Linked DNA regions of Pelodiscus sinensis. The main gene of each other region encodes a partner of the protein of the gene in region 2 in a complex. Links are inferred from orthologs where the notes say so. Each region holds a gene or a part of one and is shown on either strand. Other genes may lie near its edges.

The links.
Region 1: CNOT2 (region 2) and CNOT9 share a complex: the UniProt entries of both Homo sapiens proteins name them as parts of the CCR4-NOT complex. The link is inferred for Pelodiscus sinensis from reciprocal best matches to the Homo sapiens genes CNOT2 and CNOT9.

Annotation. Positions count from the first base shown.
Region 1 is NC_134717.1:924,810-932,802, forward strand, and holds the start of CNOT9 (CCR4-NOT transcription complex subunit 9), read right to left. Parts: upstream 3,140-7,993; 5' UTR 3,012-3,139; coding exon 2,988-3,011; intron 2,781-2,987; exon of another isoform or gene 2,625-2,780; intron 1-2,624. Other genes in the region: USP37 (ubiquitin carboxyl-terminal hydrolase 37), read left to right, coding at 4,978-5,133. UniProt on the Homo sapiens protein: Component of the CCR4-NOT complex which is one of the major cellular mRNA deadenylases and is linked to various cellular processes including bulk mRNA degradation, miRNA-mediated repression, translational repression during translational initiation and general transcription regulation.
Region 2 is NC_134711.1:64,365,182-64,373,097, forward strand, and holds the start of CNOT2 (CCR4-NOT transcription complex subunit 2), read left to right. Parts: upstream 1-4,690; 5' UTR 4,691-4,814; intron 4,815-7,916. UniProt on the Homo sapiens protein: Component of the CCR4-NOT complex which is one of the major cellular mRNA deadenylases and is linked to various cellular processes including bulk mRNA degradation, miRNA-mediated repression, translational repression during translational initiation and general transcription regulation.

The DNA.
Region 1 (7,993 bases), on a different chromosome or scaffold from region 2:
TTGTGTTCCCAAGAACCTCAGCCACTTCCCTAAGTATCTCTCTCAAAGGGAACTCCCTGATACTTTGCTTTGTGAGAAAAATTCTTCCCAGACTACAACCGAGAAGGGTAAATCTGTACCTACACTCAAAAAATCTTTTTAAGATTAAGCAGGACAGTTTTAAAAGTTATTTCCATCCCCCTTCTCCACAAAATCAGTGAAAGGGTAACACAGACAGTGAAGTCTCAGAAATAAAAGAATCACACTGGGGAACCCAGGATTTTAAGATCTCTGGGATTTCCTTTTCAGAGAAGTTAAACTTTCATTAAAAACAAAGTTTCATGATCTTTCAAATGCTCTTTAAAACAGCGATATAAACTAAATTCTCTTGCACTAAGTAAAGTAGCAGCTTGGTAGTTTAAGCTCAAAATTTAGGTTTAACTAGATCTCAATAGGACTATTTTCTTGAACGTTAAGCCAACTAGTTGCAGTGTATTTGGGTTTAAGTATTCCCTTGCAATCTCCTCTACAATTCGTCATGCTCAAGAACTATGAAGTGAAACCAGCTAGTACTAGAAGTGAAACTATACAACTGGGATCAATCTTTACCGAACTGTAGAGGTTAGAGATGCATATTAGGGACTAAGTCTTTGGGATACCATTCTACAGACTCGCTTCTCAATATCAGCAAGTGTTTCTTGACATTTCGAAAATTTTTCCCTCTGTTTCATCCATTCAATCCCATTATATACCATGCACATTCTAACTAACTCTCTCACCTTTGGTATTTATAGGATCAAGAACCTGTAGACTTATTAACTGTTTGCTCTTATTAACTTAGGAAAGTATTTATTTAGTGCCATCAGATGATCTATAGATGTATTATCCACACTTGATCCCTGCCCTGCAAAGCTCGCCATACATTTTAACTCTTCAACTTTCCTCAAATCAATCCTTCTCTGACTCTCTTGTCTGTTTTCCAGATTCTTTTTCAGATCCTGAAGCCAGGATATTTCGTGAGCATGGTGAACTGTGACAAGTGTAATCCTATTAGCACTCCCTATAAGGGGGCTTAGAAATACAGGGAAAATGGGAAAGTCTACTTTGTGTTTGTTTATGATGGCAGGCTCTTGGAGAGCTATACGTTCAGGCCTAATTCACTAGACATATTGAAAGCTTCAGTTCACGTTAACAGTTCAAATACACTCACTCCTTAGCAACGCAGGCATACATCCACAGTGTTCAGTGCCTTCCTCAGTAAGAATCAAATTTCTCCCCACAGATCATACAGATTCCCATCTGATGTTATTTTTCTCTGTACATCCCACCTATATTTCATGCGGTTGTTGATAAAATCATCTAATTTTTAAACTGCTGTTCTCAAGGCTGAAGGTATCATTCTCCTTCCCTAGGATCTTGGGTAATGCCAAATATCACAAACATTGCAGATACATATTGATCTTACTAATGCACTCTGCTGTGCTTCATGCATGCAAGAGTGAGGTCATAGCTGTTTTAAAACACCATACACACTGACCATTTGTGGATCACTGAAGAGCTCAGGACACAGTGTCTGCCAAACTGCAACTCTGACTATTACATAATAAGGATGTAAATTGCACTTAATCAACTAGTCGATTAGTTGATGGGGGGGGCGGGACTGCAGAGCTGCAATGGGGTTAGCTCCCGGCCCCGGGCAGCTAATCCCACTGCGGCTCTGCCTTTTAAATGTATTAAGAGCTGCCAGGCTAGTCGCTTACATCCCTATTACATAGCAGATTTGATTTTACATAATTTAAGAAACAGTCTCCAACTGGCAACTGCCTTGAAGCATTCTAGGTAAAAACATCAATACATACATACAATTGTCTATTTTCTGCCTATATTGTTAGATTTTCAACACGGTAACACCAATATGAAGCCTTTATTTAACAACAATATTGCAAGGCACTGACTGATTTGTAAGTTCACGCTCATGCTTCTATATCAAGTTGTCTGTTTTTATTGTGTTTGCTCCATTCTCTGGACCTCCCCTTTGTTACGTTATGTTCTTTTCAGATTAGCACTCTAAATACAGACTGTACTGGTGGTCTCGTCGTAAAAGGCCAGTGCTCCACCTTGCTCAACCAAGGATAGCGTTGTGTAGTGCAGCCCCCCCCTGCAGACAGCTGCATTTACCAAATGTAAATAGCAGGAGAATGAACCTGAAGTATATTCGATCACAGCGCACAAAGCTATGGGATAGTGATAGAAATGTAGCCGTGTTAGTCCTGTTCTTTGTTTCAGCTACACCAGGCTATGCAGCAGTATAAAGACTCACAAGATGGTTTATTAGGTGATGAGCTTTGGTGGGCCAGACCCACTTCCTCAGATCAAATAGTGGAAGAAAATTGTCACAACCCTTTGGTATCTATGGTTCTGACAATTTTCTTCCACTCTTTGATCTGAGGAAGTGGGTCTGGCCCACGAAAGCTCATCATCTAATAAACCATCCTGTGAGTCTGTAAAGTGCTGCCTAGTCCTGGTTTGTCAAAGCTCTGGGAGACTTGTTCAAAGGCGCCCTCAGCCCCCTCGCACGGTTTGAAAGGACCCATGAAAACCGCGACCCCGCCGCCGTTTCACCATTTCGCGCGCTCCTGACTCACTGCGCGGCGGCGCGATGTGGAGTCCGGGCTAGGGGAGACCGAGCTGGGCAGGGCACCAGCTGTCCAGAGCGGCTAGGGGAGGGGGAGGGGCCCTGGGCCAGGCCGGAGGCTCGGGGCTTCCCTGGCCGCAGGGGAGGCTGCGGGGGGCGCGGGGCCGCCACGAGGGCCGGGCCGGGCGGATCTCCAGGCCCCTCCGGCCCGCAGCGACTCCGCCCGTGCGGGAAGCGCCGCCTCGTGCTGCCGCCGTTTTGAAGCCCGCCGGGGGGGCGGGGTCTGTGCCCGGGCCCGCCCGCGGGGAGCCCCCCCGGCCCCGCGTCGCTGCCCGCAGGGGCCCGGCCGGAGGGGGGGGGCGGGGGGACTCACCGCGGCCGTGGCCAGGCTGTGCATGTTCGGAGCCGCCGCCGCCCGGGCCCGGGATCAGGAGGCCGCTGCCGTCGCCATGGGGCCCAGGCCGCCTGCGCGCCGCCCTGACCCCTGCCCTCCGCCCTCTCACCCCGTCACGTGCTCCGCGCCGGGGGGGGGGAGGGTGAGGCGCCTGCGCGCGGCGGCTTGTGGGCGAGCAGGGCGCGCTCTGCGGGGCGGCGGAGGGCCCGCGGCGAGCCTGCGCGCAGCGCCGTGACGCCACCGCGCGCGCGTGCCGTACGTGCCGCGTCTCGCGCGGGGCGTCTCGCGCGGCTGCCCGCTTCCCGCCATCTGCCTCCCTGAGGAGCGAGCGCAGCGCCCGGCGGGGCCTCGCGGGACCCGAGCGGCAGGTAGCGAGCCGCGGCCCCCGCCCCCACGGGCCCCCTCAGCTGCCCCCTCCCCCTCCGGCCGCCTGCAGCCGCGAGAGCCCCCGGTCAGCCCGGCCGAGCCCTTCCCCCGCCCGGGCGGGGCGCTGTCCGGGCACGGCAGGTGGGGGGGCGGGGCGAGTGGGTCACTCTCCCCCCCCCCCCGGCGCGCGGGGCAGAGCCCCGGGGGGGGGGCAGAGCCCGGCCGCGCGCTGCTCAGTCCCTGGGGCCCGCTGCCCTCCGCGCGCGCCACAGGTGCCCCTCGCGCTGGGCTGCCCCCACGTGACCGCTGCCCCGTCTCCCCCCCGCCCCCCCCGGTGGGTTTTGCCGGTGAGCGCGCGGGGCGCGGCACGTGCGCGGTGTGGCGCTCTGAGCGCGCGGGGACCCAGCTGGCCCCTGTGCCTGTCGGGCTCGCCCCGCAGAGCCGCCCTGCCCTGGGCACGGGCCTGTGATGCCGCTTCTCGGCCTGTGCAGGAACGGCCTCCCCTTCCCCGGACTCTGCCGTGCACCCGCTCACTGCCCCGAAAGAAACGCCCTTCGCACTTGAACCATTGCGAGCCCTGCTGCCTGGTGATTGTCGCTTGCGTGTCCCTAGCTTGTATTGAACTGCATCCCCCTCAAAAGTTAAATAGAAAAGGGCTGTGTGTGTGATCCTATGCAAAGCTTCCTTCCTTCGTTGGTTTTAATCAGACAGTTCCTATCAAAATGTGGATTATTTAAAGAGTAATTTGTCACATTGTTTTAGTAATTTGTATTAACGTTGCTTAGCAGCCTCAGTCAAGTTGGAGTCTCGTTGTACAAAGTGCTGTACCAATATCAAAACACAATCTATAACCAAAAGATGATAATCTAGATCAATGACAAGATGCAACAGGTGGCTGAGAGAGAGAAACAGGTGACGTTGAGGTGACAATAAGTAAAACTTGCAAATACAAAGAATAAATTTTATTATAAAAAGTCAGTTTCTCATTAGAGGTTTTATTGTCCAATTTTGGAAACCAAATGGTTTCTTGGAAAATTTGTTGTCTTTTCCCCCTCATCTTTCCCTGCTTGCTCTTAGCTCAAGATCAATTTGTTTTGGTAACTCTGTAAATGTCATTCTTAGACTTGCAAGATCTTTCACTGTTTGTACTGAGTCATCTCACTCAGTGTTAAATATTTAGGGATTAAAACAGAGTTCCCCAAGGTGCGAGGCATTCCCCACATCAAGGCCTCAGCTCTACTCATGCCCCTGAGTCTGGCCTCCAACTGTGACCACAGCCTCAGGTTCCTTACTTTTGTCTACATTTCCTCCCCTTAGCCACAGTTTTGCCCCCAGTCTGGGTAAGGAGCATGAACCCTGAAGAGTCTGGAGACCACTGGCTTAAAGTAATGCTGGCCAAATTATGGAAGATTTCCTAATACATATTTCATTTACTGTATTCTATTTTTTCTAGACTCCTGCAAAAAATGCTGTTCCTGATTTTTACACTTTATGCAGATACTTTTATTTGCTAGTTGCCAATTTTAATTTTTCTTATTTTTAACAGGATTCAAAGTGAAGTAAATTTAGTTCAACTGTTTTAAGTTATTTATCTGCAAGAAAAATGGCTCCACTGAAGGTGCATGGGCCTGTACGGATGCGCAGCATGCAAACTGGGATTACAAAATGGAAAGAAGGAAGCTTTGAAATTGTGGAGAAGGACAACAAAGTGAGTTTAGTCGTTCACTACAATGTTGGAGGAATTCCAAAGACATTTCAGGTACTTCAGATATCAAGGTGTTTTATATGAGCAATGCATGGATTGTTCCCTTTTGTGAACAGCTTTCATCTCAAAGACTACTAAGTATCTCACAGACTTCCCTCTGTTACTGTTTCTTGGTTTTCATTTCTAGAACATTAATCCTTTTGTATAAACATACTTTACAGTATTCAGGTGTATCATTGGGTAGAATGCCAAGGCAGGAGTGGACAAACCAATTATTGGGAAGAAATGAAAATGCTTAAGACATGAAAGTAAAATGAACCAAACACTATATAGTATCTTGTTATTTTGTATTCGCTTTTTTAAACTCTTTTTGCTTATTTGACAAACTTTCAGACCATCTGTGTGGCGATTTATTAGGTCACGTATGCCTTTTCTACTACACTAGTACTTTTTCCAGTGGAAGTGCTGAACATTTCCAGTGTAAATATACCCTTAGTCCAGGTGCAAAACTCTTCACTGTTGTACATCAACTACACTTCTGTCCAGTCTAGGTTATTAGTGTGCCAAGAAACTTGATTTTCACCACTTCCTTTTGGAGCTTTGATAGCTCTTGCTGTCAGAAAAATAAGGTTCATACCAACTATAAGGCGATAAGTAAAATGTGTGCACTTGATGATATTCATATTTTGGGACAGGAAACATTAGGAGGAGTTTTAGGCCTTTTTTCTGTCTTCCGGTTCAGATTAATCAGAAACCTCTTCATCTGCAGATTTGGGAGATCCTACTGTCATGTTATAGAGGCAAATTGAACTAAATCTTTCTCTCGCTTCAGTAACTGGCAGCTCTTCATACTTGTCAAAATTACTTTTTTATTTGTTAGTGGTGTCTAGAAGCCACAGTCAGGTTGGGGCCCCATAGTGCTAGATGCAGATATAAAGTAAAAGATTATCTTTGTCCCAAAGAGACTTTATAATATAGTTTAAACGAGTCACAACTGGTGGCTGGAGAATATGGATGATGATGAATGCTGTTAAGTCATAAGAGTTTTTTGTGTGTTGTAATAGGTTTGACCTTGAATGGTCATGTGGTTGAAATTCTTCTCTGCTGTACTTATTTTAGGGGAGAGTGGAAGATTTGAAGGCCATCCTTAAATTCTTCCTGTACTGAAAATATTTAGTTAACCAAAAAAGCAAGTATTGGGTATAAAATAAGTCTGATGTCAGTACCAGGCAACTTAGTTTAACCAATAGTAAAGAATAGAATTGTCAGACACATAGATGAACATAGTTTGTTGGGAAAAGTCAACATGGTTTCTGTAAAGGGAAATCATGCCTTACTAATCTACTAGAGTTCTTTGTGGGCATCAACAAGCATGTGGACAAGTATCAGAAGGGTAGCAATGTTAATCTGAATCTGCATAAACAACAACACGTCCTGTGGCACCTTATAGACTTGGGCTACGTCTACACTGGCCCCTTTTCCGGAAGGGGCATGTAAATTTCACCAGTCGTAGTAGGGAAATGCGCGGGGGATTTAAATATCCCCCGCGGCATTTAAATAAAAATGTCCGCCGCTTTTTTCCGGCTTTTAAAAAAGCCGGAAAAGAGCGTCTACACTGGCCCCGATCCTCCGGAAAAAGCGCCCTTTTCCGGAGGCTCTTATTCCTACTTTGAAGTAGGAATAAGAGCCTCCGGAAAAGGGCGCTTTTTCCGGAGGATCGGGGCCAGTGTAGACGCTCTTTTCCGGCTTTTTTAAAAGCCGGAAAAAAGCGGCGGACATTTTTATTTAAATGCCGCGGGGGATATTTAAATCCCCCGCGCATTTCCCTACTACGACTGGTGAAATTTACATGCCCCTTCCGGAAAAGGGGCCAGTGTAGACGTAGCCTAACAGATTTATTGGATCATAAGCTTTCATGGGCAAAGACTCACTTTGTCAGATGCATGTACTGATGCATGTGGACAAGGGGGATCCAGTGAGCACAGTGTACTTAGAGTTCCAGGAAGCCTTTGACAAGGTCCCTCACCAAAGGTTCTTAAGTAACTTGTCATGGGATAAGAGGGGAGGTTCTCTCAGGGCTTGATAACTGGTTAAAAGATAGGAAAAAAAGGATAGGAATAATGGACAGTTTTCAGAATGGAGTGAGGTAACTAGTGGGGTCCCACAGGGGTCTGTACTGGGGCCAGTCCTATTCAACATATTCATAAATGATCTGGAAAAAGGGGCAAACAGTGAGGGGGCAACATTTGTAGATGATACTAAACTGCTCAAAATAGTTAAGACCAAAGCAGACTGTGAAGAGCTTCAAAAGGATTTCACAAAACTAGGAGATTGGGCAGCAAAAGGCAAATTAATTTTAATGTTGATAAATGCAAAGTAATGCATATTGGAAAACATAATCCCAACTACACATACAAAATGATGGGGACTAAATTAGCTGTTACGACTCCAGAGAGATTGTAGAGTCATTGTGGATAGTTCTCTGAAAATATCCACTCAACGTGCAGCAGTAGTCAAAAAAGCAAACAGAATGTTGGGAATAATTAAAAAAAAAATAGAGAATAAGACAGAGAACATCTTATTGCCTCTGTATAAATCCATGGTATGCCCACATCTTGAATGCTGCGTACAAATGTGGTTGCCTCATCTAAAAAAAATATATTGGCATTGGAAAAAGTTCAGAAAAGGGCAACAAAAATGGTTGAGGTTTGGAGCAGCTGCCATATGAAGAGAGATGAAAAAGACAGAGATTTTTCATCTTAGAAAAGAGGAGATTAAGAGGGGAGTATGATGGAGGTCTATAAAATCATGACTGGTGTGGAGAAAGTGAATAAGGAAAAGTTACTGACTTGTTCCCGTAACACAAGAACTAGGGGTCACCAAATGAAACTAATAGGTAGCAGGTTTAAAACAA
Region 2 (7,916 bases):
CTTACTAGTTCGAACGAAGGGCTGTGTAGCCCCTTAATTCGAACTAGTGGGAGGCTAGCCCTCCCCAGCTTTCCCTGGTGGCCACTCTGGCCAACACCAGGGAAACTTTATTGCCCCCCTCCCGGCCCCGGATCCCTTAAAGGGGCACGGGCTGGCTACGGTGCCCGTGCCAGGTGCAAGCCTGCCAGCACCCAGCTAGCAGACCCTGCACCTGGCACGGCTCGAGCCAGCCACCCGATGCCCCCCAGCCCTCCCTCTCTTCCCGGGACCAGGCTGGCGGCTCCCGGGAGCTTGCCCGGGACCGCAAGAGGCGGGCACCCGCCTGGTCTAGTGCGGACATCATGGACCTCGTCCACGACCTCCACACTAGGCACAGGAAAGTGGCTGTCTAGGGCAGGAGAGCTGCCAGCCTGGCCACCCAGGAGCAGGTGTGCATGAAAATCAAGGTGGTCCACTGAGACCCCCGACCCTGAGCTTACAATGGCCGTACTGGGTCATACCAAAGGTCCATCTAGCTCAGTAGCCTGTTTGCCGACAGCGGCCAACCCTAGGGACCCTAGAGGGGATGGACCGAAGACAGTGACCAAGCCATTTGTCTCGTGCCATCCATCTCCAGCCTTCCACAAACTTCGGGCAGGGACACCACTCCTACCCCCTGGCTAATACCACTCCATGGACCCAACCTCCATGACTTGATCTTACTTCCCTTTAAACTCTGTTCTAGTTCTAGCCTTCACAGCCTCCTGCAGCAAGGAGTTCCACAGATTGACTCTTTGCTTTGTGAAGAACTTTCTGTTACTAGTTTGAAGCCTGCTACCCATTCCTTTCATTTGGTGTCCTCTAGTCCTTCTGTTATGGGAACTAATGAAGAACTTTTCTTTATGCACCCTCTCCACACCACTCATGCTTTTATAGACCTCTATCCTATCCCCCTCTCAGTCTCCTCTCTTCATATGGGACCTGTTCCAAACCTCTGATCATTTTAGTTGCCCTCCCCTCTCCCACCTTCTCTCTTCCCCTCTCCCACCTCCTTTTCCCATCTCCCTGAGTTTTGTTCAATAAAGAGAGATTCTATTTTTGACCACACATTTTCTTTATTTTGTACATCAGGAAGGGGGGCTAGGGAAGGGTAAGTGGAAGGAGGTGAGGGAGGAATGGGGTACGAGCCCCCGATGGGGAGGACTGGGCTGGCTCTGCGGGCTTCTGGGGGTGGAAGCTCTCCTGCAGCCCCCCAATTGCCCCCTCTCCCCAGATGGCAGTCTGCGGCAAGTGCAGCCGGTCTGATGGCCGAGTGCTGTGATGTGCTGAGTGTGGACACTCAGGGCACTCCAAGCCAGGACTGCTTTGCAAGCGGGGCACCCCTGAGAACTGTCTGTCCGAGGTGGGGGTCGGGTCCCTTTAAGCACAGCTCTCGGCTAGCCTGAGGCAGCAGCTCCACGCTCTAAGTCCTCATCTGATGCCCTGCCGGCACTGCTTCCGGCCATCCTTAATCCCGGTTCAGGGTCCACTTAATGTGGACATGCTAGTTCGAATTAGCAAAACGCTAATTCACACTAGTTTTTTAGTCTGGATGCGTTAGTTCGAATTAGCTTAGTTCAAATGAACTAATTCGAACTAAGTTTGTTCGAGTTAGCGCTGTAGTGTAGGCATACCCTAACTTAGTTGGTTTGAAATACCAGCTCAATAAAAAGGCACAGTTTGGGTGCAAAACAGGCCTCATCCTTGCAGAAAAATGTGCTCAACCAATAAACAACAGAAGCAAAAGCATGAACTCTCCCCATTCATCACAGTAAATTGTGGACTATTTATCCACTTCAGAGCTTATTACAAACCATTAAAATGCTAACAACTTTCCTTTTCTTTAGGAAAACAAACAAGACAGTCAAATACACAAAAGCTATGTGTATGCAATGTTAATGTTCTACAATTAAACACTCAACGCAAGGGAATACAGCAGTTAAGGTTTCTGAATTAACATAACTTGCCCACATTGTGCATACATATTTGTGATTACTGGTTAGGCTACTAAATACACACTATATCTAATATACAAAGGAGAATGTTTGTATGTTTGTGCGCTATAACTTGGGCGCTATAAGAGCTACCCCAAACTTTGCATGGGGTAACCTTTCCTCCAGGAGAAGGTTTTAAGGTACTTTTGGCAGTGCGGGGAGAAGCAACTTCCCGGGGGAAGCTGCGGGGACAGTCACTCACTAAGGCTGGTGGTGGAGGCGGGAGGGGAGGCACTCTGAGCAGCAGCTGCTCCACTCGCCTGTACCAGGCCATTCCACTGAACAGGTGCATCTAGGGTGGGGGAGCCCCCTTCTTCCTCCCACCCATGATGTCACTTGGCCCGGGACCCACCCCTCCGGCAGCGGCTGAGGGTTGCCACGCTGTGGGCTGGAGCTTGCGGCCACCGCTAGGGGCGGTTGCGGGCACAGTGGGGCAAGCCCAGCAGGGAGGCGGCAGCGGTGCTGGGAGCAGCCCAGAGTCCGGCGCAGCTTCCTGGTCGTGTGGCAGGGAGCCCGGCACCTGCTCATCGAGGCCCACGGGAGAGGGGAGCCCCTGGAGCGGCCCCATGGTGCAGCAGGTAGCGGTGCGAAAGTTTCAGTGTGGACGGTGGGGTTGTTGCCCCGTGGCCCTTGTAGCCCTAGGCGCGAGCTGGGCTGTCCAGCCCACTGTAGGTTCCATGCTTACTCCCTCCTGTCCCTCACACGGGGCACCCCCGGCAGGACCCCACTGCCCACCCCAAGCAACATCGGGTAACTCCAGCTAGTGTAAAATAGATGTTATGTTTTTGAGAGAACTTTAATTTTTGGATTCACTGACTTTGTTCAAATATGTAGCATTCATATTTCACTTTTTTTTTTTTTTTTTGCTACAGCCCCAATCATATCTGATTGGAGTTATGTCTATACTGCAAGGCTTTTCTGCAAGAGGAAATGCAAATATGAGCAAGATACGCAAATGAGCGCTCATGTCACACTCGCATTTCCTCTTCCTCTTCGGATCACTTTTGTGCAAAAAAGAGCTATGTAGATGGCTCCTTTTTGTGCAAAAACAAGTGCAACATATGCAAATGAGTGCTCCATTTGCATTTCCTCTAGCGGAAAAGCCTTGTAGTATAGACCGTAGCCTAAGTCTCTGCATTGTCAGACTTCCTGCTCCATCCACCTTCATTCTTTCCTATTAAGTGTATTTAACAGAGTTGCTGCCCTCCTTCCGACCAGCAACTCCTACAGAGCTAGTGTAGACTACGCCTAAACTGGCTTGTCCAAGTCAGCTTACTCTGTCTCTCAGGATGCTTGATCTGGAACCCAAGTTCTTTGACTCTTCACCCTTAGAGGGTCCCAGAGCTCTGGCTGGAGCACAAACTCAAACTTCTACACAGTAATTTTTAGTCCCACAACCTGAGCATGACAAGCCCAAACCAGCTGACATAGGCCAGCCATATATCTTTTTATTCCTATGTAGATGTAACCCAAGAACTTCTGTTCTCCTGCTCCCACCTATTCTCTCCTAGGGTGTGGTTGTTCCAGGGGTCATCTATACAGTAGTTCCTCTGCAGGGTTGTAGTATTAAGAGACCTGGTCTGCACTACAAAGTTACTATGGCAGATACATCAATTTTCTTAATTGCACACTAAAGTTTCACTCCCACCAACATAACTGCCCTGCAATGCAGGCATAACTCCACCTCTGATGTGAGGAGCAGCATCAATGTGGATTTAGTTAGATCAAAGCAATGTAGGTGCACACACTGTGTTGTTTACATTGACTGTTACGGGCTTTCAGCATCTATCCGACAATGCCCCACAGTGACAGTACAACCTGTACAAGTGCACCTGGTTAGGATATGCACTGCCAACACATGGAGCAAAGTAGAGACATGCACAAGTGATGTAATTTCTATTGTGGCTGGATGCTGCGGTAAGTTAAGTCAACTTCAATTCTCTAGCAGAGACATGCCCTCAATGTAGATATGCTGATAAAGGGGTTCTCTCATTGGCATAAATAATCCACCCCTGAGATGCCGTAGCTAAGTGAACAGAAAAATTCATCCACCCCTTAGCACTGTCTACACACGGACTCAGATCAACTTAATTGTCACCAGGGTCCGGATTTTCCACACCTTTGAGTGATGTAGCCAGGACCAATTTTCCAGCACACAGCAAGCAGCCCACGGAGCTGCTGCCGTGCTACCCCTCTTGCCCCCGTTGTCTCCTGTGGGTGCGTGATGGGAACTGCTGTCTCCACCTCCCACGGGAGTGGAAGGGTCCAGGCCCCAACAGCCCCTTTTCCGTGCCCCGGAGCGGGCGTGTAACGGAGCCCCACGTGGGCAGGATGGGACCCGGGACTCACCCCCCTGCTGTGCAGTGAGTGTGACCGAGCTGCTGCCGCCCGCGCGCTGGGGGACCGCAGCACTAATTGGGTCCCCGCTCTCTCGGGCGGGAGCGTGTGGCAGGGCTCCCGCTCCCCTCCCACGGGGGAGGCCGCCCCCGTCCCGGCCGTGGCAGGCCCGGCTCCCTGCGGCAGCAGCGCCCTGGCTTCCCACCCGGGTTAAGCGCGGGGAGAGCGAGGCCCAGCAGGAGCCAGGCGGCAGAGGGGCCCAGCCTCCCGTGGGGGCGGAGGGAGCCGCGGGCCGGGCCTGGGCGCGCAGGCAGCTCGCGTCTCGCCCTGGTTCCGGTTGCCAGGCCGGGCGGCGGCGGGGTCACGGCGGCGGCGGGCGGGTCAGAGGGTAAAGGTCGCTCCCCCAGCATCCTCCGTGCTGGATACTCAGCCATCTTGGATCCGCGGGACAAGAAAATTCATGCGGTGAGTTCGGCCCCCATTATTTTCTGGCCCCCTCCCCGCGGCGCGCTCTGCCCGCTGCCTCCCAACGGGGCCCGCAGGCGCTGGGGGTGGGGCCCCCGGCGGTCCGGGCCCGGCTCCGCGGTCACTGGGCCCGGCCGCAGCCAGCCGGGTTTCCGTTTGCTTTTGTCTCCGAGGGAGAGAGAGAGGGGGGGACGCGCGACGTCTGAGTCGGGAGCGGAGCCCTTAGGCCCAGCCCAGGCAGCGGACCCGTCGCTTCCGCCATCCCCGGCCCGGCGGCGGCGGCGGCACCCGGGCCCCGCTCTGCGGGGAGGGAAAGGCCAGCGCTGCGGGAGGCGGCAGAGCCTGGGGCCCGCACCCTAGGGCCTCCTCATCCTCTGCGAGCGTCTGTGGCTTCTCACACAGCCGCGGCTTCCCTTCCTGCTGCCCCTTGCCCTGGCGGCTGCCACCCGCGATGTCCGCCCCTTGACTCGCCTCCTTCCCGCTCCCGCCTGTGCCCTAGTGTCTTGCTCATCTGACCCGTCCCCCTAGCCCTTGGCCTAGTTGTGGTTCTTGACACCCTCCCGCCCCATCGCGCGTTCGACTTCTTTAGGCGTCTGAGGAGAAGTTGGTGCTAATGTCCTCCCTCCCGTGTCTTGTGGCTTCGGGTTAAGAAACCAGTGAAGCGAAATCTGCCACCCACTGTCTCTGCTGCTACTGGTTTTTCCTTATAGGCGATGCTGGGGTTTTGCAGTTTACCAGTGTGGACTTGCGGCCTGTTATGTGAGCCCTGTAGATGAGAGAGGGCTGTGAAATAGGGTTAATTATTTCTGGTGTATTCTTCCCCGGCCTTTTTGAGGGAGGCTGAGATGACGTTGAAACAGGTTGTGATTCTTCCTCAGAAATGTTTGTTAAACAAACTTGAAGCACGCTGAACCACTTCCTCTGAGTGCTGCCTCTGTCTGTGTCAGAAGATGTCTTGTCTTCCTGTGTGTGTGATGTTTCTGTTTCAAAGCAGCTTTCACTGTGAACCAGCACTAATGGGGAAAATTCAGATGTCGTAGGGGAGAATGAATTCTTGTTTACAAATGTAGCTTGTACATCGTCCTGAAATTTGCAAGCCAAAGAATATGCACCTGTTACTTAAACTTTTATTATAATTCAAGTTACAGATGACTTTAACTTAAATATTTTGTAGTACTCTGTCAAATCTCAACATAATTACGTCATTGTGGATCAGCAGTGTTTACTTTTGGAAAAAACACATTTTGTTTGAACAACTTATTATCAAAACTTTAGTGTTATGTTAGCTTTTCATTTCTTACATAAAATGATTCCATTTGATTCTTGGATGAATTAAGTCCATGAAGGAAGGAAATACTGTTGTGCAGGCCAATATGAGTAACACCTGGTGGAAGTGATTGGCTGTTGGACTTAAATAAGTAATAGGAGAGCTTAAACTTTATCAAACTTTCTGTTACATCAGTCTGTAGACCTCATTAGGTTTCTGGAAATATGGATGTAGTTCAAACTATTGAGACACATGTAGAGCAGAACAATCAAATATAATTTAGGTTTTCATTGCAAAGATTCCTTTTTGTGGACTAACATATGCACTAATATCCTTTAATTTTTTTTTCTATTGTTGATCAAAGCTTGCGTGATCCAGGTCTTGAGGACTGCAGTGTTTTATAACATTATAACTGTTTTGGGGGAGAGTTCCAGCTGACACATGGTCAACTTCCAGATTTCCAGGGACTAGATCCTTTTGGTATTATGAAGGAATTTAAGTACCTTTATAGTTTATAACAAAAACTGGAATACCATTCACTAGAAGATGGCATTTTTTTTGCGGGAAGCTGTGAACATTAAGTATTAATAGATATTGGGGTGATAAAATGAGTTGTTGCCTTTTTGCTTATCTGTGGTGTTTCATTATCTTTTCTTTCTGATATTTGTCTAATGCCTTTGGCTAATAATTTGAAAAGGGACTAATGATTTTTGGATGCTTTATTTTCTGAATTGTCCAACTTGAGAGGCTTTATTTTATAAAGCGAACAAGTATTAAGGTATCTTCAGTTGACTCTACAAAATTGAGGTCCCAGAAATCTTTCTTGACTTTTGAAAATCTTGGCTTTTGTCTCCAGCTTGTTAAGTATGCCCTGTAACCAGGTACTTGGTATTAGATCTGAAACTAGAAACTTGCATTTTTAGGCTTCAGGTTTGCACAGTTTGGGTGCAGGATACTCTTGTGTGTCAGAGTTCATTGTGTTATAATAGTCATAACTTCCATAGTTATTTTTGTATTTGAAAATACTTTTCACTCAACTTGTAGAATTTGTAAACAACTTTTTTCAACTCACCAGTCTTAAGAGTAGATGAGGTGAGTACCTGTTATTAGCTTAGTGACTAATACTTGCACTGTCAAAGGCAAAATGAAAATAATCTGCATCAGACATTCTGATTTGAGCTAAAATATTAAGCCTAATACTGATTTGTCAGATTTTTCTTTCAGAAATGCACAAACAAATCTCAGTGAAATATACAGGAATTGTGCACGAGTATTCGAGTACAGAATTTGGCCTTAAGTACTGCAGAATCCTTGTGTTTAAAGTGGTGTTTAAAGAAATCTATAATACAACCTGTTACTTTTGTGCAGGTCTGAGTTCCTATTAAACAATATACGGTAGTTTTTCTTTAATTGTTGGTAAACTACTTGTCATATTTGTGCATATTTCTAGATGTTAGTCTAATCAGAGAAAGCCTAAACCCATATACAAATAGTGTACTATGTATGTACTAGTCTAAACAGAACTGAATTTCATTGGGGAGAAGAGGGAAACAAACAAGCAGATATTGTAAGACCCACAGGGTTAGTCAATCATTTTCATAATACATAAAACATATAGCTTGATATGTATTGACAAAAATCAAGAAATTCTAAAGTTACACTTGAATCCTTTGAGTTTCATTAGCTTATGTTGCAGTCTTAATATATTTTTTAAAATCATGCTAGAAATATGGTAAAATCATCCATGAAATTTTACAGATGCATTGGTAGTAGAAAACTCTTCTGATGTTTCAAATATACTATATCCAGACTCAGACTTGCTTGTTTTGTTTCCA